Linked DNA regions of Caenorhabditis elegans. The protein of the gene in region 3 interacts with the protein of the main gene of each other region in a pairwise test. Each region holds a gene or a part of one and is shown on either strand. Other genes may lie near its edges.

The links.
Region 1: the proteins of hsp-17 (region 3) and atp-4 interact in a two-hybrid assay, tested with the Caenorhabditis elegans proteins (one large-scale study listed by BioGRID).
Region 2: the proteins of hsp-17 (region 3) and ttr-24 interact in a two-hybrid assay, tested with the Caenorhabditis elegans proteins (one large-scale study listed by BioGRID).
Region 4: the proteins of hsp-17 (region 3) and cpb-1 interact in a two-hybrid assay, tested with the Caenorhabditis elegans proteins (one large-scale study listed by BioGRID).

What each region holds. Positions count from the first base shown.
Region 1 is NC_003283.11:6,424,432-6,431,524, forward strand, and holds atp-4 (ATP synthase-coupling factor 6, mitochondrial), read right to left. Parts: upstream 2,682-7,093; 5' UTR 2,680-2,681; coding exon 2,437-2,679; intron 2,112-2,436; coding exon 1,965-2,111; 3' UTR 1,815-1,964; downstream 1-1,814. Other genes in the region: T05H4.11 (DUF4706 domain-containing protein), read right to left, coding at 277-463, 511-591, 640-724, 774-868, 924-1,012, 1,317-1,412; alh-4 (Aldehyde dehydrogenase), read right to left, coding at 3,495-3,524, 3,615-3,753, 3,799-3,928, 3,976-4,292, 4,351-4,448, 4,610-4,742, 4,793-5,274, 5,323-5,481; gad-1 (Gastrulation defective protein 1), read right to left, coding at 7,008-7,093.
Region 2 is NC_003283.11:18,552,642-18,560,133, forward strand, and holds ttr-24 (TransThyretin-Related family domain), read right to left. Parts: upstream 4,003-7,492; 5' UTR 3,913-4,002; coding exon 3,753-3,912; intron 3,166-3,752; coding exon 3,038-3,165; intron 2,958-3,037; coding exon 2,820-2,957; 3' UTR 2,746-2,819; downstream 1-2,745. Other genes in the region: Y51A2D.8 (Cysteine proteinase), read right to left, coding at 1-219, 578-658, 1,060-1,205; ttr-25 (TransThyretin-Related family domain), read left to right, coding at 4,147-4,306, 5,048-5,175, 5,244-5,381; ttr-26 (Transthyretin-like family protein), read right to left, coding at 6,225-6,365, 6,419-6,546, 7,469-7,492.
Region 3 is NC_003283.11:8,382,887-8,390,477, forward strand, and holds hsp-17 (SHSP domain-containing protein), read right to left. Parts: upstream 3,042-7,591; 5' UTR 3,029-3,041; coding exon 2,982-3,028; intron 2,672-2,981; coding exon 2,434-2,671; intron 2,173-2,433; coding exon 2,008-2,172; 3' UTR 1,922-2,007; downstream 1-1,921. Other genes in the region: F52E1.5 (Chondroitin proteoglycan 3), read left to right, coding at 379-702; F52E1.14 (ZP domain-containing protein), read left to right, coding at 1,058-1,234, 1,283-1,382, 1,541-1,680, 1,727-1,921; gcy-7 (Guanylate cyclase), read left to right, coding at 4,470-4,517, 4,566-4,756, 4,867-4,976, 5,052-5,299, 5,343-5,454, 5,500-5,625, 5,669-5,781, 5,871-5,990 and 7 more.
Region 4 is NC_003281.10:9,318,593-9,327,408, reverse strand, and holds cpb-1 (Cytoplasmic polyadenylation element-binding protein 1), read right to left. Parts: upstream 5,100-8,816; 5' UTR 5,094-5,099; coding exon 4,679-5,093; intron 4,636-4,678; coding exon 4,273-4,635; intron 4,226-4,272; coding exon 4,115-4,225; intron 4,068-4,114; coding exon 3,977-4,067; intron 3,920-3,976; coding exon 3,580-3,919; intron 3,532-3,579; coding exon 3,316-3,531; intron 3,262-3,315; coding exon 3,115-3,261; 3' UTR 2,496-3,114; downstream 1-2,495. Other genes in the region: cepr-104.1 (CEntrosomal Protein Related), read left to right, coding at 1-102; C40H1.7 (Fungal lipase-type domain-containing protein), read right to left, coding at 417-612, 668-843, 892-1,044, 1,297-1,429, 1,474-1,591, 1,639-1,703, 1,956-2,077, 2,121-2,193 and 1 more; C40H1.9 (Fungal lipase-type domain-containing protein), read right to left, coding at 5,746-5,932, 5,976-6,085, 6,132-6,423, 6,462-6,579, 6,627-6,691, 6,741-6,856, 6,904-6,964, 7,269-7,369.

The DNA.
Region 1 (7,093 bases), 2.0 Mb from region 3:
GGAATGGTAACTTTAATTTTTAAAAAATTTTGGAGATTAGGAATAAGGACATGATTTACAATAGAACAAGAGTAAATTTGATCAGTAAATGAAATACGAACAGAATTTGAGATAAGACAAAACGAAATTATATATAGAATTGCGGGGAGACGAATAGATGTTCTTCTTTGGAAGACGGTTGAAAGCTCTTGATAGTAGATAAAATCCGTTAATCGGTCAGTTTTTGCATTGGGATTTGTGAACATTGTAGTTGTTGCTTCTGCTGCGTGGTCTTTCTTAAAATTCGACATCACTCCAAAAGTCGGATCCCTTGGCCGTTACGAAATCGTTTTCTTCTTCTGATTTTGAAGCTCGACGTGACCTGCTCACTTTTTGAGAATTTGTGCATGGTAAGACACCTTTGAAAGCATTCTCGACCGCTTCGTTGTCGTCCAAGAAGAACTCTTGAGGACTCTTTTCGTCTCTAGAATAATTCATTTTAATATCGGGCATTTTATCAGAAAAACTCACTCAATGAAGGGTGAAACTATTTTCTTTTTTGTATCGAAGCGGAGAATGCTAGCTAAGCGAAGATTGCTCAATGACGGTGAGCTAAAAAATTTAATTTTAAAACAACATAAACCATCAAATAATCCTTACGTAACGATTTGAGTCCAAGCAATTCGCATTCCCTGCTCGGCAAATAATTCGAATGGAACCGAGTCATCCGATTCGTCAGAAGCATCTAAAATACGCTTATTGATAACTGGATTATTAAAATTTTAATTTAATACCGCTCAACTCGAGTTCCTTCTCATTCGAATCGAAGAAGTTGCACAGCGAGAGAAGCTCCTGTTCTCGTTCACTTCGAGTTTCTTTGTCGAGATTGCTGGAAAAATGGAATTTTAAAAAATAGTTTTAATAAATTACAGCTTGAAACATACAAGCAATCAGCGACGAACGTCCATTCCTGATTCGTTTTACCAACAAATTCGGATGTTGACTCCACAGTTTGTGTTTCAAATCGGACACTCTGCAAAATACGTTTATTAATTAATGAGTTATTATTCATACTTTTATTGCTCAGGAAATGTGTTTCTTTAAATGGAAATCTTACCAGATCATAAGATGAATGCCATAGAGAAACTGTTCTTGTTAAAGTATTTGAACAACGCATAATAACCACGTAGCAGATACGCAAAAAAAAAAAGAATCCCTATCTTCCGACGAGCATCATGGGGTCACAATGATGTCATATCGAACGGTTGACCTTCCAGTCTTCCATTAGAATCCCGCCTACACTACTTCCCATCTTATCTGTTACATCAGTAACGAACCTTTCGCTTCGTGAGCTCTCGTTTCTGGACATGCGATATTTGTCGTTGTGAGTTTACAGAGACTCTGGTCGATGACTCCTTTGAAAATTCGACCATCTTAAATATTGGAAATGGAATTTTAAAAATGCGTGAGAGAAAAAAACACAAACCTTTTATTAATTTTGAAATGACTAGAGTTTTGAATCCATTTCGGCGGAACGAAAACCTGCAATTTGAAATCGTGTGGTATATGAGTAGCAAATAAAAGGTCGTCTGTCGCGTCTGCGCAATGGTGCTGGGTTAGTGTCTGTGTGATGACGTAGGAGGCTTGCGGACAGACAGGTCTGCCTAATGGTGCACCCCAAATCGGCAATGGGGTGCCGTTCAAAAGAGTATTCACGGGTTGGGGAAGAGTTTGAATATGTTTGCTCGTAGAACAACTGTACAACCCATGATTTGATTGAACGAGTTTAAAATGGCTGATAACAAGCCACTTTATCGAAAAATTTTGAATGAGAATAATAAAAATAAGCTTCGTGACTAAAACAACAAAGTTTACAAAAGAACAGAGAGAAATTTCAAAAATTAAGGAACAAAAACGTTCATTCGGTCTATAGACGATCTATTACAAAAAGAAACAATACACCATTCAAAATCGAGAGCTTAAATTTATTGCTTGAGGGCAGCATTACGGGCGGCTTGTTCGGCTTTCTTGGCATCACGGGAGGCAACATATTCAGAGTGGTCCTTCTTGACTCCTTCAAGAAGCGAAGCCAATGTTTGTCCTTCAAGAGCGGATTGAACTGCAGAGTCAACCTGGAAACGAGCATTTTAATGTTTTTTTTTAACTCAGCACTTGGAACAGCCTATTAATAATCTAAAATTTATAAGATATACATTAATCGGGTTACTTCTGGTTCTCAGATTATCAAATATATTTACAAAAACAAAAGCTGATTTTTTAAAAATTATTTGAAACTATTTTGGTTATTAATCGACAAAAATAAGGATGTTTCTTTAATTTACTTCGATAATTCATTTAAAAATTGTTCAATCGAGCGATACTTTTGTAACTGAAATTTTTTTTAGCTAATTTTATTTTTTAAATAAATCTTTGTTTGTTTGTCTTCATTTATATTACCTTAGCAGCTTCAAAGTTAGTTGGGAGCTTCGAAACAACATCGGCGTTGGCGAGCTGGAACTTGGTGGCCAATCTGTTGAGCTCTTCCTGGAGAGCCTTCTTAACGGCTGGATCAGAGTTAGCCAGGTTACCGGCGTTCTTGGCGATTTCGCGGATCTTGGTGACGAAAGTCTGCTGGATCAAGTCCTGGCGGCAAGCCGCGGTGGTCGAAAGAGAACGGACTGATTGGACTGCGCGGAACATACCTGAATATAAATTTAGAAATTGTTTTCTGTTCAAAGGATGTTTATAAGTATCGAAGAAAAGGCACCGGAAACCAGGAAAATCAAACAAAGCGCAAAATTCCACAAAACAATGATTTATTAAAATATTTACAAAAATAAACATACTCAAGAGAGGGGAGGAAAATTTAAAAAAAAAATGAAAATGAACGTTTGGCGGATCAATGAAGATTGCGAGCATATTTCTGAAAATATCGGGAATGAAAATTAATAAAATTATTGCTTTAAATTGAAACTACACGAATTTTTAATATTTGGGGACACTTTTCATGCGGGAATTGGTTATGGACTAGAGTTTATGGAATGATTAGAAGATCCGGTGAAAAAATTGACTAGGAATTTGTGAAAAAAAAAAGAAGTTAAAAAATAGGGCGAGACGGAAGAAGAATAGTGGTGTGAAAGTACGTAAGAGTGAACATTGACCGCACGACTAGTCCGCAAACACCGAGCCTACTGTACGCCATTTCGCGTTTGCCACCTCCACCAGCATGTCTCGATTTTATGCCGAGAAGCGGAAAATGAACTGAAACTAGTATTATTTTTTCTGTATTTATTTGTTATCGAATTGGTACTAGTTAGCTGAAGCATAAAAACAAAGGATGTGAAGGACCTTCGAAACATAAGGAGCCTTTGGAGGTTACAAACGGGAAATATCCGTACAATAACTGATTTGAATAGTTTATTGTTAGATGTTTGGACATAAGTTAGTGAGGCAAATTGGAAAGCAACAAAAATATGTGAATATGATAAGCTAAATATCACGTATTTTCGCAGTAATTAATCATCCTGTACATTTCTAGAACATTTCTGAAAAATTGTACTGCGATTTGTGAATTAATCTAGTGAAGCAGGTGCTGACTGTGTGAGAATCTATTGAGCTGATTTTCCTCTGCATACCTGGAAGAGCATTCCAAAAACGAATGAGGCCATTACGATAGGAAGAGTCGCAACATTCATCAGATTCAGAGAGATTCGTTTTCCCGTGAGGCGTCGCATTTGATCGAGCTTTTGTTGGCTTAGTGGCGGGTAACGAGCTCTGAAATTAATGCGATTAGGTATCGAAGGTTCGGAAAAAACGTACGCTAAAAGAGATTCTCCGAAGAATCCTCTGTGAAGCACAGACTTTTCATGGGTGAATGTGTCAAATCCATACTTTCCACGGTAACGTCCCATTCCAGAGACACCTACTCCTCCGAACGGGAGAGTATCAACTGTAATTCAAAAATTATTCAGATATTTTAAAATTAAAATAGCATACCAGTAATGTGCATCAACACATCGTTAACAGTCACACCACCACTGCTAGTCTCATTCAAAAGGCGTTTAACTTTAGCTTCATTTCTTGTGAAAATGTAAGCAGCCAGAGGCTTCTCTCCATCAGCAATGTACTCAAGCGACTCCGAGAAAGACTGGACAGTGATGATGGGCAGGACTGGACCAAAAATCTCATCATGCATGAATGGATCAGATTTCTCAACGTCAAGGACAGTTGGAGGGATGTAGAGATCTGCACGATCACGTTCTCCACCGATAAGAACAGCTCCTTGAGTTTTATCGAGAAGCCCAGAGATGCGACTGGAAGAAGAGTTCAGATTAAATTATATAAATATTGTAAATAGTTAAATAAACTAACTCGAAATGTCTCTGATTGATCATTCTCGCGTAATCCTTGCTTGCTTTCACATCCTCGCCATAAAATTCGTTCACATATTTGCGGATTGCGGCAACAAGCTGAAATTTTTGGATATTCTTTTTGTAGTCTAGTTAGCTGTAGGGTGCGATATCAATAATTGTTTATCAAACAGTTTGTATCTCTGTCATCACCAACCATATCATTGATCAAAAATGGAGGAAAAATCAACAAAAAAATTAATTTTTTAACTAAAACTGACCTTCGGCTTCACAGTGCTATTCACAAGAATGTAGTCTGGTGCCAGACAAGTTTGTCCGCAGTTCAGCCATTTTCCCCAAGCGATTCTTTTAGCAGAAATATCAATGTCAGCATCATCTTCAACAACGACCGGGCTGAATTAATTAAATTTTGAAATTGTTCAAAAATCAATCTATAGACTTACCATTTGCCTCCCAATTCCAATGTGACTGGTGTCAAATGCTTTGCAGCTGCTGTCATAATAATTTTGGCAACTGGTGGGCATCCGGTGTATAGAATATGATCGAATCGCTCTTTGAGCAAATCGGTAGTCTCTGGGATACCTCCGTTCACGACAGTCACGTATTTTGACTCGAAATACTTTGGAATGAGCTTCTCAAAAGTTGCGGCAACATTTTCGGACAGTTCGGATGGTTTGATCACAACTGTATTTCCGGCGGCAATTGCTGGAACCATTGGGAGAAGGATCATAGAGACCGGATAGTTCCATGGGGAGATGATGAGTACAACTCCTTTTGGATCTTTCTCAATTACTGGCTTATCGAGAGCAGTTGTGAAGGTCTTCTCAACGTGGGTTGGCTTCACCCAGTCATCAATGTTCTTCAAGAAATAGTCAATCTCTTGAATGGTCATTCCGATTTCTAGAATTTCAGTGGATTCATGGCGCTGAAAATGTTAGAAATTTGAATTTTATACTTGAAAATTCTAACTTACTCTTCTCAAATCCTTCCAAACAGCTTCTGACAAAGCCTCGCGGTTCTCCTCGATAAACTTTTTAAGTTTCAGAAGTTGTTGTTTTCTGAATTTGACTGGTTTTGTCTCTCCTGTACGGAAGTACTTGCGTTGGGTTTCCACTAGTTCGGTGAATGCCATTTCTGAAAAATCAGCAATGAAATTGAAGGAAAATTAAATTTATAGCGAGCGTTTTCAGAATGGTCAACGTGACCTTCAAGGGTCAGCCTGGGGTTATATACTGCCTAGTTATCATTATCAAACGCAGTTGCCTAAATAAATTTTCTGGTAGATGATGTATGTTTCATGAAGGACAGAGAAGGCGGAGGGGGGCAAGTCAACGAAAAAAAAACGATATTCGGAGACGAGAAGGAAGCGGTCAGAATAATGATGATCACATGACGACAGTCGCGCAAACAAGTAACCAATCATATAGAGAAATGCCAAAATATTTTAATCGCCGTTAGCAAAATATTTCGTGAAATTGAAGTCTAGAAAACTGATGAAATCTAAGTTTCAGTTATCAACTGCCGAAATTTGGAATGATGATTTGTTGGAAACGTTTTTGTCTATAACAATTTAGATGTATACAACTCATTGAAACATTAAAATACGTTCAGTATAAGAATTTACGCAAATCTAAAAACAATAGACATTTTACAAAGTTAGTTAGGTTTGAATGATGTCACTATTTCTATTTAATTGGGAGGGTGGAGATTGTTTTCGGGTATAGTGTGAGATCTAGGCGCAGTTCAATTCAGTGATCAACTTGTGGTCAAGTATGTAGATGAAACTTCATACGACTTGACTCATTTTATAGATTGATCTCAAGTCTAATCTCGAAAAAATGTTAGATTTATGTTTTCAACCGTAACCTATCATTATTTTAACAGACAGAAAGTTCGACCAAAAAGAAGATAATTATCGATATAACCGTCGAGAACTTGGATGTTTCTCGGGAGGGAAAGGGAAACTTCAAGGACGAAATTTCACGGCGTTGTTTTGTTTGCTACTAGCTACAATTTCTCGGCACTGAAACAGGAAGAAAATGTGAAAAGGAAATTGTAGAGTAAACAGTTGTGGAACTGTAATTTCGGATTGCATGTTTGTTCTACACACTTCAGCAAAAAGTGACCCTTTGAATAGGCTGCACATGGTATCAGTTGTGGGAAAATGTATGATAAGAAAGAAATGGAATGGAGGCCATGTCAATAATTTCTTCTTTAAATATAGTTTTCTCAATTTTTGGAATTAAATCCATAATAGAAACGTTTTTAAAAATACAGTTTCAGGTTTTTGGATTAGGAGATCAAAAGCGAAACATCCGAACCGGGTTCAATTTTAAAAGTGAACCTGATCCCGATTGGATACAATTCTTGCGGCAAAAGTGTAGCCATCGTCCACCGGACACTGACACAAACGACCACATATTGTTGAAATGGGGGGGAGTTGGAAGAATGGGAAAGATAGAAGTGAGCAGCATGCTAGAGTGTAGCTAGCGTTAGATATTTGGACAAGACAATGACTATGGCGAACACACAATTTCTCCAACATCATGTGATCATTGACTCTATATTTATTGGGACACAAAAAATAGAGAAAAAAATAGGAAAACAATATTACAAGAGGGAGACAGACAGATGAAAAACAAAAAATTAATGCAACGACTACTTCGTTCTCGGCATTTTGAAGACAGGCTGTAGCTCTTCGTCATCTTGATCTTCTGGCTCGACTGCAGTTTCTTGGAAAATCT
Region 2 (7,492 bases), about 10 Mb from region 3:
TCTGGATAGCGTGTTGATCTACGCTTATGGCGTGTTTTATTCATGTCGGCCGCGCGAAAATCCGGTTTTTTCTTGTCGAAGTTGAGCATTGGGAGCCCTGTATTGTTGCTGGGCACTACATTGGACAAACGGCCGTGGAATTCGGCGGTGGATAGGTCAGAAAACTTGTTAATGCCAAATTGGGTGTCATATCCGGCTGCTTTTGACTTTGCGTTTAATCTGAAAAAAATTGAAAAAAAACCGAAAAAAAAAAATTTTTTTGAAATTTTTTTTCGAAATTTTTTATTCAAAAATTTCATTTTTAAACTCAAATTTAAAACATTTTCATTATGAAATTCGAAATCTACGCCTCAAATTACCCCTGTCCCGAAATTTTCAACGCTTTAGTGCAATTTTGCGTCAAATCTGGTGTTTTTGGTTACTGTAGCCTAGTGTTTGTGGACCTTACACCCAATTTGACGGAATTTTGCGCTAAATTTTTGAAAAACGGGGTTAGTGGTTATTTGCTACGTAGAATCCGAATTTCGACTCGAAATTTGAAAATTCTGAAGTTTGGGCCATGTTTTTTTTCACTTACTTATCGACATTGTTGTAGGATTTTACGAAATTATTGAATCTCTGCTGATTCTCCGACTCGTCCTTGTATTTTCGGTTGTACCTGTGAAAAATTATGTTTTTTTTCTCAAAAGTGGCTTAAAACGGCAACAATAAGATTTCTGAAAAATTTTAATAGAAATGTTCAATTATTTCTGAAAATCGAAATTTCAACACTTCAAAACCATTTTTTTTTTGAAAAATTATGTAAAAATTCGAATTCTCCACCCAAAATTACCCCTGCACCCTATTTTTCAACAATTTCGTGCGAAATGTCGTCAAATCCGGTGTTTTGGGTTACTGTAGCCTGGTGTTTGCGTACCCGGCACCCGATTTGACGGGATTTTGCACTAAAATTCTGAAAACTCAGGCGTAGGGGTTATTTGCTATGGGGAATCCGAATTTTTAATTGATTTTTCAAAATTTTGAAGTTTGGGCCAAGTTTTCGTTATTAAAAAAACTCACTTTTTTTTAAAATCCTCAAAAGCCTTGTAGAGCTTCTCCGGATGGTCCCGATCGATATTAATTTCAAAAAATTCGGGTTCTGTAATATTGATGGAAACTACCCCTGAAATGGGTAGAACCACCAGGAAAATCACGAAAACTTGCATTTTCGCGGCGAAATTTTGATTGCCTCGGGCTACGGTTGGCTTTTAAGCTTCCGAGTTTTATGGCCGAAATCGTAAAATTTTCCACTTTTTCGGGGGAAAAAGTTGGAAAGATCGGGGTGATTCTGCACATTTCGACATCGAATTTGTTGGGGTTCTTTTATAGATTTTTGGTGTTGACAGGGGGTTGAAAAATTAATTTATGAGCAAGTTATTGAAAATTTTGATTTTTTTCAAGCCTTGTTACATGAAAATTTGGAATCTTCATAAAATTTCCGTTTATTTGACCCCCATATTGGCTATATTCGAGGAAATTTGAATTTCAGACCAGTTTTAGGCCGTTTCGGGCTTTTTGGAGCCCAAATATCAATACACTCAGTTTAATGCCAGTGCGTTTGTAGTAATTTGCCAACTTGTATAAGGAACTACTAAATTGGTTATGTTTGCGGAAAATTGAATTTCAGACCAGTTTTAGGACAGTTCAGGCCGTTCTAGGCTTGAAAACAAATATTGACGGGTATATGTCGATAATTTCAGCAAACGTTTTTGAAAAATTTGAAACTGTGAAATAAAAGTTATTTAAAGGAAAGTTTTGTATTTCAGGCCATTTTCAGGCTCCGGGCCGTTTTTTGCCCAAAATTTCAAAGTTTGTAGAACATAGCCAATATGGGTTTCAAAACTAGGCAAATTTCATGAAGAACACGAATTTTGAGTTCATATTTCTCAAAATTTTACCGGGTGTCCCCGAATGTCCCATAGGTGTCCCATAAGTGTCCCACTCGTGGTTTTCAGGCTATATTTGTCAGAAGTTGCTCTTTTTTTACAGAAACACTTGCATAGATGTAGTTAAGCGTTTATATTGCAAATTAAAACATGAAAAATGGTTTAATTTTGAACGGTTCAAATATTTTTCCAAAAAAAATTTTTTTTTTAATGTACATGGCAATATTTTTTATATCATTTTTATGGATTTGACATTTACATCGGCTATATTTCAAGAAACTGGGCTTGTCGAAATGATTTGGACCGATTCGGGCCGTTTCAGGCCGTTTCAGGCCTGAATTTCTAGATTTTCTGGAACTGCGTTTTCACTTTTAGGTTTTTCTTATTACTGCAAAATTTCTACACTTACCTTGACCTAAATTCGTGGTGCTCATATTTCAAGTCTAGAACGGCCTGAAATGGCCTGAAATTGGCCTGAAATTCAACATTTCATTGTTATGCAAGTTAAATCAAAAGGCTGAAAATTATCTTGAAGTTTTAGGTGAAGAAAATCTATTTTTCAATAAATTTTGAGTTTCGGGCCAGTTTCAGGCCGTTCTGGGCCGTTTTTTGGCCAAAACGTCCAAATGTTCAGAGTATAATCAATATGGGTGTTAAAATTTTGCAAATTTTATGAAGAACACGAATTTTACATTTTTATTGTTTAAAATGTCCCCTGGTGTCCCCGAATGTCCCATAGGTGTCCCATAAGTGTCCCTCTCATGGTTTTAGGCTATATTTGTCAGAATTTGCTCATTTTTTTTACAGAAACACTTTAAAAATTGTAATTAAACGTTTATTTTATGAAAAATGCCAATTAAAACATAAAAATTATCAAAAAATTACAAAAAAAGTTTAATGAATGCAATCAGTGCCCTCTCCTGGGTATCTGTTAGCCAAATTGAGGGTTCCGATGTCGAAAAGTTGAGCTTCTTTGGATCCTTTACCAACTGCATTTTTTGGAACATGAATAGTCACTTTTTTTGGGCAGAGCTGAAAATTTCAAAATTTTTGAATTTTTTTTAAATAGGAAAAAAATCGAATTTTTTCAATTTTTTTCTCCAAAAACCTACTCCAGAATAGTTGCATTTATGATAAATATTGATTTTCGGGTCAATCTTGCGGATTTTATTCTGGGATCCCGAGACCTTGAATGTTCCATCAGCAATTGTTTTCACCGAGTCCATTTTCGTGTCGTAGACTGCAGAAAATTGTATTTTTGTGAAATAAAATGTTCAAAGTTAACATTTTTGTTGTTAAAACTAGGAAATTCAGATTTTCCAGGTCAAGACAAGAATTTTGACACCCATATTGACTATGTTCGGACAAATTTGAATTTTGGGGTGTGTGACCGCGACGCGACCGCAACGCGGCGAAAATTGAAATTGCATTTTTCATGCTTCAACGCGGTAAGTTTTTGAGTTATGATTAATACAACGTCTTTGTTCAAAAATGTTTGCCATTGTGGAGCTTTACAATAATTTTTGCATTTGACACGCGACGCGACCGCACCGCACTCAAAAAACCAAAGTTATCCGAATATAGTCGTTATGGGGGTCAAATAAAAGCTAAGAACGTCAGAAATACAAAAATCGTAATTTTGATCCTTAAAAACGAACTGCTCTAATTTTACGGTAAATAGTGACTATTAGAAACCGCGACGCAACCGCGCCGTGCCCTAAAACCAAAAATTGTCCAAATACAGGCAATATGAGTGCCAAATTGAAGCTAACAGCGTGGTGAGACATTTTCAACTTGAAAAAATCGAATTTGAAACTTTCAACTTACTAGTTCCATCCTCGAAAAGCTTCACACGGACGTCTCTAGCCGGTGCTCCGTTACAGACCAGTTTGCCGACCACAGTGACCGTCTGTTTACTCCCAACAATACCTCCCAAGGCATCAGTGAGCAGAAAAACAGTGGAAATGAGCAGAATTTCTTTGAACATTGCTCAGGAGTCGACCGGGAATCGATAAGAAATCCAGGAAAATGATAAGAAATCAGGGAAATCAGACGAGATGAGAAACGGATAAAAGTCGGCGATTAGGTGATTATCTAACGGAACAGTTGTTGTTTAGTGTAAACATGCCGCTGGGGACCAGAAAAACATGTTTGTCACCCGAAAATCCCATAAAAACCGGGAGCAAAACTCACGGAAACTTCCTGAGAATCTGCTCAAACGATGCTCAAACTTTGTCTGCTCTTCCTTGCGACTTTAGCCGTGGCTCACGGGCTCGGCGGAATTGTTGGTAGAAAGCAGACGGTTACTGTAGTTGGTAAGCTCACTTGCAACGGCCAAGCTGTGAAGGATGTGAAGATCAAGCTGTATGAGGATGGAACTGGTGAGCCATTTTTTTTTCCAGTTTTATGTTTTAATTTGTGTATTTTTGAAATTCTGACGTTCTTAGCTTTCATTTGACCCCCATATTGCCTATAATCTGACAACTTTGGTATTTTGAGTGCGGTGCGGTCGCGTCGCGGTTTCTAACCGTAACATTAGAATAGTTCGCTTTTAAAGGTTGAAAATACGATTTTTGAATTTTTGACGTTCTTAGCTTTTGTTTGACCCCCATTTTGCCTATGATCAGACAACTTTAGTTTTTTGAGTGCGGTGCGGTCGCGTCGCGGTCGCTCAAGTTCAGAAGCAGTCGTAGCAACGAAACAATCAGTTTCTGGAAATCAAACGCGTGTATTTCCTTAATTTGTAGTTTATAGCTCTCATTTAACACCCATATTGTATATATTTAAAGACATTTGATTTTAGCCATGCGTCGCGGCCGCGTCGCGGCCGCTCAAATTTGCAAACAAGCGTATCACTGAGGACTGTGCACGTTTGAAGACATAAAAATTTCAGTATCACTAATACAAACTTAGAAATCTCAAATAAACATTAGTTTATTCAACATTTTGAAGCAAAAAATCACCGTGCGTTGCGGTCGCGTCGCGGTTTAACCAAAATCTTCAAAATTGCCGGAATATAGACAATATGGGTGTCAAATTGAAGCTATTGACGCCACGAGTTTGAATTTTGTAAAATCCTAGCGATCTGATCATTTTTGGAAGCAAAATGCCCCAAATTGCAGTCTATGACACCAAGATGGACGTTACAAACACATTGGCAGACGGAACCTTCAAAGTAGTCGGCGGCCAGAATAAAATTCGCAAGATCGACCCAAAAATCAATATTTATCACAGATGCAACCACGTCGGAGTGAGTTTCAGCGAAAAATTTCGACTTTTTTTCAAAAATTTTACTGAAAAAATTCTCAAAAATTTCAGCTTTGCCCGAAAAGGGTTACCATTCATGTTCCGAAGAACGCAGTTGGCAAAGGATCCAAAGAAGCTCAACTTTTTGACATTGGAGTTCTGAATTTGGCCAATAAGTACCCAGGAGAGGGTACTGATTGCATTCATTAAACTTTTTTTTTGGAACTTTTTGATAACTTTTATGTTTTAATTGGAATTTTTCATAAAATAAACGTTTAATTACACTTTTTAAAGTGTTTCTGTAAAAAAAATGAGCAAATTCCGACAAATATAGCCTAAAACCACGAGAGGGACACTTATGGGACACCTATGGGACATTCGGGGACACCAGGGGACATTTTGAACAATAAAAATGTAAAATTCGTGTTCTCCATAAAATGTGCAAAATTTTAACACCCATATTGATTATACTCTGAACATTTGGACGTTTGGGCCAAAAAACGGCCCAAAACGGCCTGAAACTGGCCCGAAACTCAAAATTTATTGAAAAACAGATTTCCTTCACTTAAAACTTCAAGATAATTTTCAGGCTTTTGATTTAACTTGCATAACAATGAAATGTTGAATTTCAGGCCTATTTCAGGTCATTTCAGGCCGTTCTAGACTTGAAATATGAGCACCACGAATTTAGGTCAAGGTAAGTGTAGAAATTATGCAGTAATGAGGAAAACCTGAAAGTAAGAACGCAGTTCCAGAAAAACTGGAAATTCATGCCTGAAACGGCCTGAAACGGCCCGAATCGGTCCAAATCATTTCGACAAGCCCAGTTTCTTGAAATGTAGCCGAAGTAAATGTCAAATCCATGAAAATGATATGAAAAATCTTGCCATGTACAAAATTTTCCAAAAATGCTTGAAATCTCAAAATTTAAAAAATTTGAAACTTGAAAAAAATTTTTTTGTTTTGGAAAAAATATTCTAACCGTTCAAAATAAAACAATTTTCAAAATATACAAATTTGTTTGCATTTTTTATACATATTAAAGCCAAATTTTTAATGAATACAATCAGTAGATTCTCCAGAGAACTTGTTAGCCAAGTTGATAGTTCCAATGTCATAATTTCTAGCATTTTGTCCGCTTCCGCTGACGACAGCGTTTTTTGGAATGTTGATGGACACTTTTTTCGAGCAGAGCTGGAAAAATTTGAGTTTGAAATCGAATTTTTTTTTTGAAATAAAAAACTCACCCCGTTATAATTGCACTTGTGGTAAATGTTGACTTTCGGGTCGATTGTTCGGATTTTATTTTGATCTCCGGATACGCGGAATGTTCCGTCTGATCCAGTCTTTACACTGCCCATTTTGCTATCGTAAACTGCAAAAAAAATTTTTTTTTTTTGGAAAATTTTTTGATTTTCTGAAATCTGTTAGACTACGATAGTTTTGAGTGGAAAATTTGGATTCTCCTAAAAATTTGCAAAATTTTGACACCCATAATGGCTATATTTGAGGAAGTTTGGATTTCAGGCCGGGCTCAGGCCGTTTCAGGCCGTTTCAGGCCATTTCAGGCCGAAGCTTTTACGATTTTGTTTACAATTGTTTTTGACCCATAGTTTTAATAAACAGTATACATTTAGAGCTCAATCTTCGTAAAACTTGATTTCGGGCCAAAAAAGGGCCTGAAACCGCCTGAAACTTAACCACTCCCGAATGTAGCCGATATGGGTGTTAAAACAACGGAAATTTAGTGGAAAAATTGGTTTTTTTAAAACTAAAACAACGCAAAACATCAAATTTATAGAAAATTTGAAGAAAAACACTTTTTTTTAAAAATTTTTTTGGGCCAAATTTCAAATACCGCTTGTTTCCAGCATAAAAGATGTTAAAAATTAGCTTAACCTCTAAATTTGCAAAAATTTAAAACCCATATTGGCTATAATTGAGCAAGTATGAATTTCAGGCCGGTTTCAGGCCGTTTCAGGCCGTTTCAGGCCGTTTCAGGCCTTAAATATTTAAAATTAAAACCAGTTCAGATTTTCTTAGTGTTTTAAAATTATGACAACTACTTCTTAGCATTTTGAATATTGAGCCTTATTCGGCCTAAAACGGCCTAAATCTGGCCTGAAATTCGTGGTGTGTCGAATATAGCCGATATGGGTGTCAAATCAACGGAAATTTCATGAAAAATTCAACGGTGTATATTAAAATGCCTGAAAAGTTCAAGTTTTCGAATTTTTTCCCGAAAAAAAAATTTCGAAAAAAAAAGTTTAAAAAAAATTTTTTTTTTCTAAACTTACATGTTCCATCCTCATACATCTTGA
Region 3 (7,591 bases):
AAAATCTAAACTTAGGAGACACTTTTTTGTCAACAGAACACTACCCACAATGAAGCAACACTGATCTAATGTTACCTTATCCTCACTTCTATCCATCATTTATTCTTGCCGTTTATACATCGATATTTGTGTTTTTTGCTTCTTCTCCAATGTAGCCATTATTTTCTTCTCATCTCTTTTTTATTTCTGTTTCGTTTTATTTATGTAATTTGTTTATGTAACCACTTGTGATGGTTTGTATCTATTAATGTGTGTTCTTTTTTTCTCTACCTCACGATATCTTACTATCGTAATAAATTAAATTAAATTAAATTAAATCCAATGGGCATTGCTCCCCCTTAATAGGTACACTAAAAAATGTAAGTCTGTAAATTTCAGGGAAAATGTTTCGGAAGTGAGCTTGGACTATGTGACTGTAATGCTTGCATTACTAACAAAAAGTGCAGCAGTGATTTGGATTGTGGTGGCCTACGAAATGGTTGTGATTCCAATGGAAATTGTGATTGTGTCAATGCATTCCATTCTCACGGATACAAACTTTTCGTCAAAGTACTTCTGACATTCTGCCATCAAACAAAATGTACAAAAACATCAGACAATTGTTATGGTCTTCCATGCCGAGTCGGAAAATGCAAATGTTTTGTTGGTTCTGGAGTTGGCTCAAAACTACCTGTGCATTATTTCAAGCCAGCTGGAAAATAATTATCATTCAATGTAGATAGTCAATAGAAACTTTCACGTAATCATCATTCTTTTCGGGTTGAATAAAATGATAAATGAATGGTGACTTTCAGTTACGAGAATATAATAATTTCTGGCACTTGAATATCAAATCACCTGATAAACGACATGATAAAGTATAAAACATTTCAAAGTATTTCCTGAATACTATTCCTTGTTTTAATCGGATTTTTGACTTTCCACCCACTCTTCAACCTCTCGATAAGTGCAAAGCAAACAACCAAATCAGTTTCAGAAACCAGAAAGTGTCACTAAAAGAGTTACAAAAATTTCGTCTATAAAAGGAAATTGATATGGCTCATTATCAGTAGTAACCATGTGCTCTCGTGTTTTGTTTGTCTTGCTCTCGACTTTTACAGTTTTGGCTGGAGCCAGTGTTACCTGTGATTTGACACAAAAACCTTCTACATGGGCACAAGTACATGCTAAGAATATCTTCTTCAATGCTTATGAGCCAGATAATTATTTCAGTTTGAATGGATTCTGTGTCAATGTGGGTTCAAAATTAGAAAACACTAGTGTTTGATATAAATTGTTATAGAACGACTTTATGTCACATACTCTCACTTATTCTTCCCATGTGAAGCTTGCTGATTCTTCTGTAAAAGTCAAGACCGACGTTGCACTTAATACCAACTTTGGTGAGTTATCTAAAAAAAAACGTCATTGATAGAGAAAGCTCATCAATTATAAATTAATCTGCTAACAGGAAAGAATGAATCTTATCATGTTTAATGTGTTGCATCAGTATTCTAAACTAATTTTAAAAGATTTCCTATCGATTTTAAGAAATTTCCAGACGCTTCACTTTCCAATTGCGGAAAAGATGTATCCCAAGTTCAATGGTGTCAATCTCATTGTCAAGATAAAACACTCGAAAACGTCATTGTATCATCTGCAGTTATCAATGGAAGTCTTCCACTTGCTCTAGCACAACAGGTATAATTTCGTCACTATTTGAAAAGATTTCATGATTAAATTCAAGGTTTTCTCAACGATTGGATCACCAAACGATACTTCAATCGCTTCAATGCAAGTTGATTTAAACTCACAAGGAGTTCGAATCGATTATGATTATTATGATGATTTCAACTTCTGCTCAGTTTATGTGAAAGTGAAGAGGCCATCCATGTTCCCATATGCTCTATTCATTACGGTTCAAAAGATTGTTGGAGTCTAAACAAAATGTTTATATTGTCACTTCAATAATGGAATTGAATAAATATTTTTGAAATAGTTAAAATACAGACACTTAGGTAACTGAAATCAGTTTCTCTTTGGCACAATTGTGATTGGAATGGATTTTGGCTGCTGTTCCTGATTCTTCTCATATTTGACAGTGAGCACTCCATTGTTGCTCAATTCGGACTTGATTTGTTCTGGACGGACCCCTGTTGGAAGGTTATACTTCCGGACAAAGTGACGCTCTACCTGAAAGTATGCACAACGAGGTTTTAGACTTTAGTACAACTTCGTTATAAGCTCGGAAATGAGTTGCTTGGCTTCCTTGTATTGCGTAACAGGCGGAAGGATAATCTAGAACTCTTGGCCTTTATTTTGGATAACTTTTTGCCCTTTTCCGAGTAAGGTTTCAGGATCTTGAGAGCTAATCTAAGGATGCATGAAAACATTTTCAAGTTGCACTAGCTTCATACAAAACTTGAGTTTTTCAAGAAGGAGGGAAACCCTCACCTGTCCATATTTATCAGTCTTCTCGTTATGCTTTCCTTCGATGATTAGCTGATTATCAACAATGTTCACTTTCAACTCTTCTGGTTCAAACTGTGAAACATCTACAGATACATTGTATTCTTGATCGTTGTTCACAACATCAATAGCATCTCCTACTCGGTGTCCAGTGAGCATTGTTTGATCGGCCCAGTATGGTCGGATCATGTGGCGATCAAAGTCGACGTCATCGAAGAATCTGCTAGAAAACTTGTTTGTAGGAGTTTTGTAAAATTTTTAAAGTTAATTTTCTAATTTTCTAATTGCAGAAAAATATGTCAAAATCTCCAGTCTTTATGATTTTTCAGAGCATTATTTGCTAAACTGGAGTACAAAGTCCTCTCGCTAGCTTATTTTTAGAAATCGCGCCAAATTAAATTCTTGTGTATTTTAAGAACTAGCGGCGCAGAGTACAATTTGAGTGACGTCACTTATTAAAGAAGAAAATTTACAGAAAGTTATGTTACTTCAACTATAGAAGTTTCCGAAAACACGAGAATTTAGAAACTTACCGGCCATGGTTAAAGAATGGGGAGAATGGTGGAAAACGACGATCCATTTTATAATAGTTTCTGAAAATCTAATTATTTCAAAGAAACAAAACGAAAGTAAGACAGAAATAGGGGAAGAAGAAGACAAAACTGAGTTGACACTCCCTGCTTTTCTACTACTGCTCTATTATCCTCAATGCAAACAAGAATCGCCCACGGTTTTTTTTACCTCCTTCGAGAAACATCTACTCCGACGAATCATCAAAAAGAAAAGGTTTTAGATTTCGAAATTATTCGAACAAACTGACCAAAATACAGTTCTTTCTAACATGTAATATTTGTTTTAAACTTTAAAACTAATTGTAAGGAAGATTAACAAAAATAAAAAGCAAAACAGCGAGTCAATGATGAAAGTTGGGTGTGGTTGTTTGGATACTTCCCTTTTATCGAAGTTTTTCAGGAATGTATCGAATCGTCTCGAAACGTTTTTTTTGCTGGCACACTTGCTGATAAACTAATGCAGTGACACAGTTATTAATGGCATTGATGATTTCATTCAAGTTTAAACTTTATGCCAGAACTATCTCTAAGTATCATTATATTCTATACTATTTTTTTTTGAATTAGCAATGTAAATATACTCAAACAGAGGACGGAAAGAGAACGTTTGTCATTCAAAACGAGACGAACGGTTGAAGGATTGGATGACTGTTCCCAACGTTTGCAGAAAAAAAAACATTCAAAAATAAAAAAAGAGCGCAGCAGGACAGATGCGTATCTGCAAATTTTTAGATTCGATTTTCATATGATGTGGTGGTTTTCCGGGTCATTGAAATTCGAGAAAGAAAAAAGTTAAAAAGAAACCGATGGGTTGATGATAAGGATATTTATAACATTTGGTTTTATGTGCTCAATGTGCTAAACAAAGTTTAAAAATACAAGTAAAATAGTAAAAAGGAAATAGGAAAATAATGAGGCGTAATGCTAAAGTTAAAAACTATCTTCATTCAGGTTTCCAGTAACGAAAACTCAACAAGAGTGACTCACTTCAACCAGCTGCCTCTCTTGTTTTTTTACCGTATTCAATAAAAAATTTGAAATGGAACTTGTTTAACGACAATAATATCAAAAATTGTAAAATTTGCGGTACTTTACAGACTGTTTCCACGAGATGTCAATGTGATTTGTATCTGTTTGATAAACTAGATTTGAAATCCCCAATGTTTCAGAAATGCGCATAGACTGATCCGATTAATTACGCAATTGCTACCGTAACCTACCTTGTGTCACGCTTTCTCATGACCAACAGATTAATCAAGTCCAAAAGAAGCTTTTTTCTCTTCCGTGCTTTTTCACGTATCAACTGTTTCGGGAGGCGGAAAAATATAAAAATAAGGTTTCACGGATTAGGCGGCAGGCGTAGTAAACTTAAGTTTCTATAAATCCCACCGCCCCTTGTGCAGATATAAAAAGATCTGCTGTCTGCCAGTTTAGCATAAGAAAATAATCATGAAGCCCTTCTATTCAATGTCTCTAGTTTTGTTTTTAGTGATTACGGTAGGTTTTGAAAGCGAATTCCACAAAATAAAAATGATTTTTTTTCAGTTGTTACCTAAACCTATGTTTCCCCAAGTTGCAACAGGTACCACTGGAAATGTGATTCGAGTGGGATTTATTCACTGTAGAGACTTTCAAAGTGCACCTATCACTGTTGGATATCGTACATCTGCAGCAGCAGCTTCAATTGCAGTTGATAGATTGAAAAGGGAGAATCTAATGAGTGGTTGGGAATTCAAGTAAGTAGATTATTTCTAATGCCATACTGTTTTGTAAAAAAAAATAGACAGGCCGGATTGAAGAGTTTTAATAGTTCATATCATCTTGTAAATTTTGAAAATAATTTCAGTTTTACTATTGAATTTGACGATTGCGTAGAATCTGAAGCCGCTGGAATGACTGTTGATCTTATAGAGAAGCACAACGTGGACGTCATCATTGGGCCCACTATGAACCAGCGTAAGTAAATTTTTCAAATGTTTTGGTAACAGTTAATTTTTGGATCCAATCTTTAAAAACCAGTTATGTTTTCAGCTACGCTAGCTGCTTTTATTGTATCTAACTACTTCAATCGACCAATTATTGCGTGGGGTCTTGTAAACGCTGCTCAGTTAGATGATTTCGAAAGATTTCCAAATGCCGGAATTCTGTCGGCGGGGCAGCGAAGTCTCGGAGTTGCTATTCGAGCTGTTTTGAAAAGATATGAGTGGAGTCAATTTGTATACGCTTATTTCACTGAAGAAGACACGGAGAAATGTGTTACAATGAGAAATGATTTACAGGTTTATTACAAAGGTGTGTCAACTTTATACAAGAGAATTTCAGCAAGTAGTATCATACTTTGGAGACATCATTCTTGCTTATTCCATCCAGGTTGCCGACATTTCAAATGATGGAATGATTGAGGCTCTGAAAAAGATTCAATCTAGAGGAAGAAGTAAGATTAACTTAAACTTTAATATTCACATTTCTCAAATTACAGTAATTGTAACATGTATGAAGGATGGAATTGGGTTGCGCCGAAAGTGGTTGCTGGCAGCGGAAGAAGCTGGAATGATTGGGGATGAATACGTCTACGTCTTTTCTGATATTAAATCAAAGGGATACGGTAGGATCCACATGAAAGTATTTCGAAACATTCTTTATTTCAGTTGTTCCATTGCTTGGAGGAGGTGAACGTCCATCTTGGATTCTATCTACTGGGTCTGATGAAAACGACACACGAGCTTTAAAAGCTTTCAAGCAATCCATTTTTATTTGTGACGTAGGTTTTCATTTTTGTAGCCTTATCAAACTAATATATTTTATCTGACGGAAGCCACCCAAGAAGGCCAAAAAATCATGATGTTTCAGATGATGGGACAAGGATCAATTGCAACGAATTATACAATATTCGGACAAGAAATAATTGCCAGAATGAAAGAGGCTCCCTACTTTTGTACAAAGGACTGTGAAGGGGAAAACTTTACAGTGGTAGGTATTGAAGAAGTAAAACTTTCAGAAAAGAAGCGTGTGTTATTCATCAAACTATTAAATTACTCCAAAAATGTAAAACTATCGTTCAATATTTTAGGCTGCCACCTATGCTGGTCAACTGCATGATGCTGTGTATGCCTACGGTGTTGCACTTGATAAAATGCTGAAAGCGGGACAAATAGCCCAGTATCGTAATGCAACTGCCTTCATGAGATATTTTCCTCAAAGTTTTATTGGAATGTCTGGAAATGTTACCATAAATGAAAAAGGCACTCGTAATCCAACTCTTTTTCTTTTGGCTCTTGATGAAAATAATAACAATACTCGAATGGCAACTATTTATGTAGAAAATATGAGTGCGGTAAGATATATCGATCAGTCGGGATTGTCAAAATATATCGTATACATTTCAGACTTTCAACGCTCTTTATTCAGATGAAGGTGTAATGTGGGCATCTAGAAAAAATAACGCTCGTCCTGTTGATGTGCCATTATGTGGTTTTACAGGAAATCTGGTACGAGTGAGCTTCAGAAATCCATAATCAATTAAAATATTTTCAGTGTCCGAAAAGTTTCGTTGATGAATATCTCATATGGGTTATTGTGGCTATTGTTGTTCTGTTTTTGGCAATAACTGCTGCAGCATGTGGAATTTATTTCTCCATTCAAGCAAGAAGACAAGAAATTGAAAGATTAAATAGACTGTGGCAAATTCCATTCATTCATCTTCATCAAATCAATGTAAGTTGAGCAATGTGAATATTTATTTGTAGTACTCATAACTTTTTAGTCCAAACAAAAAGGAAAAGGAGAGCACAGTGTAAGAAGTCTTCAAAGCGGAACCAGCACTCTTTCATCAAGAACAACTGTCTCATTCAAAACCGAATCCAGGAATTTTCTGTTCTTCAGTCTTCAGAGAGAATCCGATTATGAGCCAGTTGTTGCAAAAAAGCATGCGTACCGACCAAGATTAGACGATGATAAGTGTACTTTCATGAGATCGGTATGAATATGGAAGAAGTTACACATTATTCTATAAGAATGTTTCAGTTGAGAAACTTGGATCAAGATAACTTGAACAGATTTATTGGGCTCTGCCTGGATGGTCCACAAATGCTTTCTGTTTGGAGATTCTGCTCGAGAGGTTCTATCGCAGATGTCATTCTTAAAGTGAGCAAATTTCAATTTTATTTTGAAAAATAATATGATTTTTAGGCAACAATTCAAATGGATAATTTTTTCATTTACTCACTTATCAAAGATATGGTTCATGTAAGTGAAGAAAGTTTTTTTTAACTCCAGAAACCGCGAAATTTCAGGGGCTTGTATTTCTTCACGGAAGTATGGTTGGATATCACGGAATGCTAACATCCAAGTGTTGCCTGATAGATGACAGGTGGCAGGTTAAAATTTCCAATTACGGATTACAAGACTTGCGGTCCCCGGAGATGTACGAGAAAAAAGGTTTTATTTATATTCTATTTTAGATTATTAGGATCTACACTACACTAAATAGGGATCTGATAGGATCTGAACACTGTATAATTTGAGAACGTCGATACTTTTTACGTTGCTGATCTCTGGCTCTGGCTTTGCAA
Region 4 (8,816 bases), on a different chromosome or scaffold from region 3:
ATGATCGACGCCGATAAGTTGGTGGTGGCTCTTCAAGAGATTCAAGAACGCAAGAAAGCAGAGAAAAAGAAGAAATTGAAGGATATTGAGAAGGAGACTTGAATACTGTGTTTTTTCTACTGCAGTTAACTGTGGCAGTTCATTTCTTGGTTCTCTTGTCGTGTCAAAAAAAAAGAACTGATATCTGTGCTGTCAAATTAGTATAATTTGTTAAATGAAATACGGTAATTGGATCACGATTATTGATGAATTATCAATTTGCGAATTATTTATTTATCTATATCTCTGTCCCCCATTTATTGTATTTTCCAAATTTGTAGTACATTTTTCCTGAAAATGCAAACTTTTTAAAAGTTCCGATGTAATAATAAGAATATATTTTTATTGACAAATACTTGGTGTACATATTATGCTTTTTATAAAAATATTATTACAGCACCCAATATCACAATCAAAAGATCATAACTGAACGTCTTCCCATTTTTAACCGCACTCTCTGCAATTGGCCTGTAATCTTCCTTATTCTTCGGACATCCATCAGCTGACCATCTGTACAAGTCCATATTAAAATAATGTGCATGGTCGGCATTTGACAGGTTCTGCACCTGACTGCTGAAAAAATCAAACATTTTTGTTGATAGTTGCTGATAAGAAATGTTGCGAAAACCTGCAAAACGGTTGATCTGCTTGCTCGCAAATGACAAAAGAGTCGCCTTCACGCATATCATTGTTGTACCAAACTTCACTTCGTGGGTGATAAAGTGTTGTGTTATCAATATTATCAAAGAAAGGGAGACGTGGTGCATAGTCATGTGCGTGGATAATGTGGTAAGAATATGGAAACTGAAATATGAACTTTTAAACTTAGACGTTCTCTATTTATCTCGTTACGTTGGTACTATGCCACATTGCAAAATCATAATCTGTACATCTAGGACATCCAAATAAAATTACTTTCATATTGTAAGGAGAGCTCATTCCAGTTTGAGCAATGAATGCAGATGTAAGTAATGCAATTGATGCACCCATCGAGTACCCAGTTATCTGAAATTCTGGGGTTGAGGGGATTCACTTCAGGTGTTGAAAATGAAACGAAATGTTTTTAAGAATTCGTGATACTGAAACTTCACTTCCCAACATTTTAAAAGTTAAGGTTTAAATTAATAACAAGAACCGTACTTCGTGTGACGTCACACAACTCAAACCTTGACTTCCCGCAATATTCATGTTGTCGTGTTTATTGTACTGTCTTAAACTATACATCCATACTTAATAATTTTCAAACCCTTTACCCACCCATAACTGATAATCCGGATAGGCATCAATCAAATTTTGCAAATCTTCACCCAATCCACTATACCATAATGATTCAAAGTTGTCATTAAACTTCTTCGTAACTCTTCCAATATTTAGAAATGGGACTGTTCCACTGAAATTAATCTGATTTTAAGAGTAAAATATGTTAAAACCAACTTAAAATTTCCGATTTTCCACAAATCATAATATTGATGATCACCGTGTGATCCACGAACCGAGAGAACGATTACTTTTCGGTCGAAATCAATTCCAGTGTATCCAGAACAAGTTACATCTAAAACGAAGCAGTATGATTGAATTCCGAGAAAAATTTGGATTTACCTGAGAAAAGTGAGGAGCAGTTTGCCTCACGCCGTTTATAGACTTTCATAGAAGGAAGTTGGTTGCTGAAAATTCTTATTTTGAACATTGTCTTATTAGTTTTTATTTCAGTATTTTATTTTTTTAAATATATTTTTATCGAAAAATATAAACAATCGATTCAAATTACCCAACAACGAAAAGTTAGCAACTACAGTACACCTTAACGGCGCACGCTCCTTTGAATTTAAAAAAAAGCGATCGCTTCGAGACCGGGTACCGTATTTTCTTAGAAATTTGTTTTGCTTCTTGGCAATAAACTATTTTCCTAAACTCACTCAAGACATTTTTGTGGATTATCTGTCCCGGTTGCAGCTATAACAGGTAAAACTGTATTTCTGACAAAATCGTCGTCATAAGCATACTGTAGTGCTGGTACAGATGGACAATTTATTGGAAGCTAAAATTGTTTCTTATTACTTTTATTGGGCCCACAGACTTACATCAACTATCCTATTACATTTTGTCTCAATTGTTAACACATCAACTATGCATTGATTATTATCTAAACAAAATCTGAAAATCTTCAATCAAAACCTCGCAAACATCATTTGAAACTAACTGTCCTCCATCCTGTAAACACTGCCAACAAGTCTTAGCTGTAAGTCTCAGAAATAAATGAAGCAAAAGGTAAGCTGCAGGGGATGCTGTCATCTTTCAAAGAGTTTTACCTCGAGGTGAAATGAGCCATTCGATAAGGCGTGGACTTAATCAAAGTTTCGATTCACGGAAATTGATGGGAGGAGGTGGGGTTATCAGTACGTGCACTTTAAAATTCGCAAAAGATGCGGCAATGATTTTTGCTTCTAGAACATTTCTTTGTTGGTGAAAGAACTTTATTTGGAAATTTCTTCCGTCACAAAAAAATTATAAAGCCAATGTTCGGAGCAATTTTAAAACCGGGAAAATTAAAAACGGGTTAAATATGGGGGACTAAATATCACGGGGTGACAATAAATAATATAATTAATCTGAATGATAGCTACAATTCAAACTATCTAAGCTATATCTCTGATCGAGTATGAACTTTGTGGGATACGGGCAATAAATAAAAAATTCTAAAGGAAATTACAAAATTCTGCCAATTCGGATAGGCTAAGAATGGGATGTACATAAATACACAAGATATAGGGTACCAGGGATTGATAATAATATAGAAACATGTTGGGGGAAATGTCAAGAGACGAGAAATAAAACATGAAGAGAATATTACATAATGAAAATTTAACATGATTACTTGAAGTTTACAATGGAATCTAGGGGAATGGTAGAGTTGCACGGAGAGATTCACACGAAAATATGGTACTTCTTTTTGAAAAGGAAGAGTTTCAAAATTGAGCAGAATTCTCGGAATATTAAGGCAAAACTTTAAAAATATGAAAGGGGGTGGTAGGGTGCGGATAAAACGGTGGAATACTTTTTAGTGAGATAAGAGTCTCAGAAACTATAGGAGGGAGTGGCAGAAAACTGTCTCTGTGACTGATCTCCATACGCTAAGATTTTTGCCGTAGTAGATTGGCTAGATGGATGGAAAACTGGAGCAGGCTTAAAACCAGAGGAGCGATGTGGAAGATGCTTGAGAAGCTGAAAATAAAATACTTCTGAATACAATAAAGATATTATTTTATTAGAACTGACTCTTGTTTGATCTCCAGTGCGCACCATTGGATAATGCTGATCTTCGAGCTTGTTATCTTCATTCTTTCCAATATGCATGCGATCCCAACAACCTTCACAGTAATATTGAAGACAGGAAGCATGTCCACAGAAGTATGGAGCATAGTTATGCTTGCACAATCTTCCTTCACACTCATCACAGTATTGTTCTTCCATCACATACGGCTTGATTTCAACCTAAAATTGTGAAGTTAAAAAACTCAATTAGTTCTAATCTCGACTCACTCGTTTGTTATTTTCGGCATGATTGACCTGCACGAAACGACCCGATATGGCGCGAACAAATGCTTGAGAAGTTGAGAAAGTGACTCGGGCAGCTCCTTTTGGGTATTTCAACTCTGGATCAATATCAATTCCCACATACGACACTTTTCCATAGTGACCTTCAAGACAACGTGCAAGATCTTGAGCACGGGTCGGACGAGGAACGCCACCAATGAAGACAGTGCGACGATGATCGACCGAAGAGTTGTCATTACAGAAGTAGTCAATGTCGGAAAGACGCCAAGGCCGGACTTGGACTGCTTTGTCGGTCATCGTTGGAGAAGACAACTGAAGGTAGTATCTTAAAAATAGCAATATTATTATTATTATTATTATGAAAATTCAATCTTTCACTAACTTATCTTCATAAAACTCGCATGCATTGACTAGCTCCTGGACAGACCGCTCGTGAGTGAAAACGAGAAAAACATATCCCGTTACAGCGCGTGCTGTAAATAGTTTATCTTTGTTGATGATGTGTACGAATATAACATACAACCGCTTCCTTTTTTCAATTCCTGTTCAGCTCGTTCTGCATTGTGCTCCGGGCGACGAGGCCAATCAATCAGCACCTTCCCGAAAGCTCCGAACGTGGCCCAAACTTGCTCTAGAAACTTTCAGAAAATTAGAATAATAATTTATGACACAAAATACCTTCTGAGACGTCGATTGGAAGACCGCCAATAAAAACCTTGCGGGAGTATAGCGGTTCAGCTGAAATCGGACGTTTTTTCGAGGCCTCCAAACAACTTTTTGATACGCCCATTAGTGACCCATCAAGGCGTTTGTATTCTGGTGGAGCAGATACGGCTTGGGGATCGGTCACTTCCATGTAACGGTGTCCGTTGATCTTCTTTATTTCTACCATACGATTCGCGTGCGTTGCATTCTTTTTAATATGTGGGAACCGCTGGTTGTACGATACATGAAAACTGTTGGGCGAAATGAAATGCTGCATAGGTGCTTGGTTATAATGAGACATTGAATAGGAACTGTTTTGAATTGCATTCAACGTATCTGAAAATTCAACAATAGGTATGAAAACATGAGTATAACAAACGAGCAAATTGAGCCATGTTCATTGCCGCGGAAGCATCATTGATGTCAAATGATTGTTTGTAAGGATTGACACTCATTAACGGAGGAACATCTCCAGACGCTGCTTGCATTATATCCATGTTATTGTAAAATGTGGCGTGGTTCAAGAATTGGTATCCATAATTCGAGGGATCATCTGCAGTCAGCATCTCAGTGGGGTCGAAAATTCCATGATTCGCCGACATTCCTCTCATTTTCTTCTGGGCCTGCGAAGTCAAAAATGATACACTGATATCCAGATTCGTTTTGTCTGTAGACAAATATGGATTTCCATGTCCTCCCGATTTTTTTGACTCGGTTGAACGGCGATGGCCATGAGACGATCGAACTGGAGCAGATGTCTTGAAATCCCCACTTGGACTCAGCTGATACTGCATCTCTCTGAAAATAGTTTTAAAAGTTATTCAATTATTTAAAATAGACAATAATTTAGAAGATTGAGACAAAAAAGCGATGAAAAATTGCTCTTTAAAAATCTTTTTTTTTGCAGTGCAGCAGAGCGCATTTGCATTTCTCAGATTTTCGCTTTTTTTCTGCAATAGAAAGCAAAGCTTTCGAAAAGGACTATAATAAATCTGTTTGCACACATTTGGCCAAATTTAAAATCACAGATAACACATAAAATCGCGTTTATAATCACAAAAATATAAAAAACTGAAAGTTTCTTTAAATTTTGAACATTCTTATATGCAAATATTATGACAAGAACCGCAATGTTCTCACAAATTCGTATACGAAAAAATTATTCTCTGAATAAAAATTTAAAAAAGCGAACTTGTGGAAAAAAGTATTTTAGCATGGTTAAAGAAATTTTGAGAACACTGAACAGTGTGCGTGGCAAAACTTGACACTGACCCCATGGCCTACTTTCCACGTATTTCACGTGTTAATTTTTGCGTGAAAGAATTTTATTTTCGTTTCGAGGAATTCATGAAGAAGTTCTAATAAATTTGACAGAACAATGTTCGGTTTAAAAAATTTTAGATTCAAAATATTCATTCTTTCTCAAAATTAAAAATTGAAAGGTTATCAAGGTTGAGCATATCCAGTCGTATTTTTTGGACACCCATCCTTTCCCCAATTTGAAATATTAATATCGAAATAGAATCCATGATCATTCATATTCAATCCTTCTGTAACTGCATCACTACAGTAGTCTCCATCGGCTTCTTCACAAATTTGATATGTGTCATTCAATCTCATGTAGTTATTGTACCTAAAGAGTATTCAAATCGAAACTTTCAAGTACTATGACTTACCAAATTTCAGTTCTTGGTTGAAACATGACAGTTGTATTGGTATGAGGGTCAATTGCTGGAACTCTAGGAATAAGATCCAATCGGTGAATTATATGGAATGAATATGAAAACTGGAAAATTATCAAATGTTCATGAAACTTGAAATTTTAGACTCACTGTGGACGAATACCACGCTGCAAAATCGTAGTCTCCTATTTTCGTAGGAGCAAGAACAATGATTTTCATATTTTCTGGTTTGTATAGTCCAACTGTTGTTAAATATGAAGCTGTAGTATATGAAAGGGCTCCTCCAAGTGAATGCCCATTTAACCATAACTCAAAGTCAGGGTACTTGTACTTCAAATATCGTAAATCTTGATTAATCCTGTCGTTCCAAAGGAGCATGAAAGAATCGTAGATCACTTTGAAGATTTTACCTGTACCTTTGCCAAAGTATGAATGAAGACCACTGAAACCAATATAATAAAAAAAAGAATCAAAACATACTCTCGAGTCATTCCTTCCAGTATTTGATTGTTCTGGTTCGGTCCATGAGATCCTCTATAAGATATGACAATAGCTTTTTGAGTGACATCATAAGCAGTATATCCATAACATGCCACATCTGTTATACAAAAAAAAATTGATAAATATTACTATATTGAATCATACCAGGGTAGTCTGTTGAACAATTCACAGTTCGAACTTTGTAAAGCTTCATTGTAGGAATTTGGTTGCTGGAATTATTTTATACTGAAATTATTTGAAGCTTGCTCATATTTTTACTCAAGACACAGCTGAGGATTGGCATTATGGGAAGCCGAGGCTAGAGCCAACATTTGAGTACGTGCAAAATGTTCATCATATGGAACTTTCGGTTTTGTGGGGCAATTTAGTTGGAGCTGGAATTGTTGAATAAGTTCATCTATATATGAGTATCAGGTCTCACCGAGATTTTTGTACTGCAAGATACGAAGCTTGAATTGCACTGAGACTGTTCAACACACCATCTGAAAGTTTAATAGAAAATATTGATTTAATGACATCAAATCAAGATTTTGTCAGCTATAGGCCATTCAAAAATTAGTCTTGCAGCCCTAAAGCCCAATCAAAATTTTATTCACTATTGAAAAATTATTTTGTGGAACTCAGCTCGGACGCTCTACATTGTTGAAAAATTTGACAATTTACCACAACCTAAATTGAAAATTTTGAAACATCTGAAATTCTTAACTTTGAAGATTCGCCTGTACCATGATAAAAGTATTTGTACTGAACCCCAACTGAACATACTACACCTTCAAAGCAACTCACACTTGACCTGATCCAACACAATTTGAGCAGTCTAACGAAGAACTTGATGTAAATGGATAAATTCCGAGCGAAATAAGAAAAAGCAGAAATAAAACTATCATTTTTGATCGTTTGGAGAAAATTCAACAATGATGAGTACAATAAATGATAAAATGATACCAGGACGGCTCTTCTTTTCGATCAACTCTTCAAGACTAATGGTCAATGAGAAAGTGATAAGAATGAAGAAAAACAAGTTTTATATGAATACCACGTTGTGTGTATGTACTCATCTATTCAAACAGACCTGTTGGTTGACTAGAACACTAAACTTTAGGTTTACTGAAATCTTTTCAACAAATAATTACTTTTACTTTTACCAGCTTTTTTTTAGAAATATTTGTTCAAATTTCAGGTTCAGTCTAAAGAAGATTTTATATCAACAAATGTAATTATTTTCCGATACTTTATTTCAAAAAGCGATAAGAGTGACCTGAAAAACAAGTTATTTTTGATTACATCTCGTTTTTTTGGTGCCACTATTTGCACACTGTTTCCTCCATAAATTGATAATCTCGATGATTCATGTTTTGAAAAAAAAACAGAAAAAATGAAGTATGGAAGAAGTTGATCAAGTTGAACATTTTCCGGTGGACCCAAAGAATATCGACTTTTTCCAAAAGTTCGCAAAAGTTGGGCAAAACTTGGTTTAGGCAATGCAACAAGAATATACTAACAAAAAACAAAAATCTAAAACTAACAAAAAATTACGGCAATCATGGTAAATTGAAATTTTTCAAATCATTTAGAGAATTAAATCATAAAGAATTATGTTAAAAATAATTCATTTATTCAAATAAAAAAGATATGAGAGATGTGTAAATAGTTTTTCATGGCTGCGAATATCCAGTCGTATTTTTTGGACACCCATCCTTTCCCCAATTTGCAATATTAATATCGAAATAGAATCCATGATCATTCATATTCAATCCTTCCGTAACTGCATCACTACAGTTATTTCCATCCGCTTCTTCACAAATTTGGTATGTGTCATTCAATCTCATGTAATTGTTGTACCTGGAAAAATGTTTGAAATTAAATGTTCTAACTTTCAATAAGCAATCTCACCAAACTTCGGTTCTTGGGTGGAACATCACAGTTGTATTGGTATGAGGGTCAATTGCTGGAACTCTAGGAATGAGGTCCAATCGGTGAATTATATGGAATGAAGATGGGAACTGAAAAATTAGAAAACTAATTTGTATCAAAAGATTAAACAATACCTTATTCGAATACCATTCTGCAAAATTATAATCTCCTAATTTCATCGGAGCAAGAACAACAATTTTCATATTACGTGGTCTGTAAAGTCCTCTCGATGCTATGTATGAAGCCGTCACATATGAAAGTGTTGCTCAAAGAGAATGTCCGTTAACCCATAAATCAAACGTTGGATATTCAAGTTTCAAGTAAATCAAATCTTGTTTCATTCCACCGTTCCAAAGGAGCATGAAGGAATCGTAAAGAACTTTGAAGATTTTCCCGGAACCATTTCCAAAGTATGGAAGA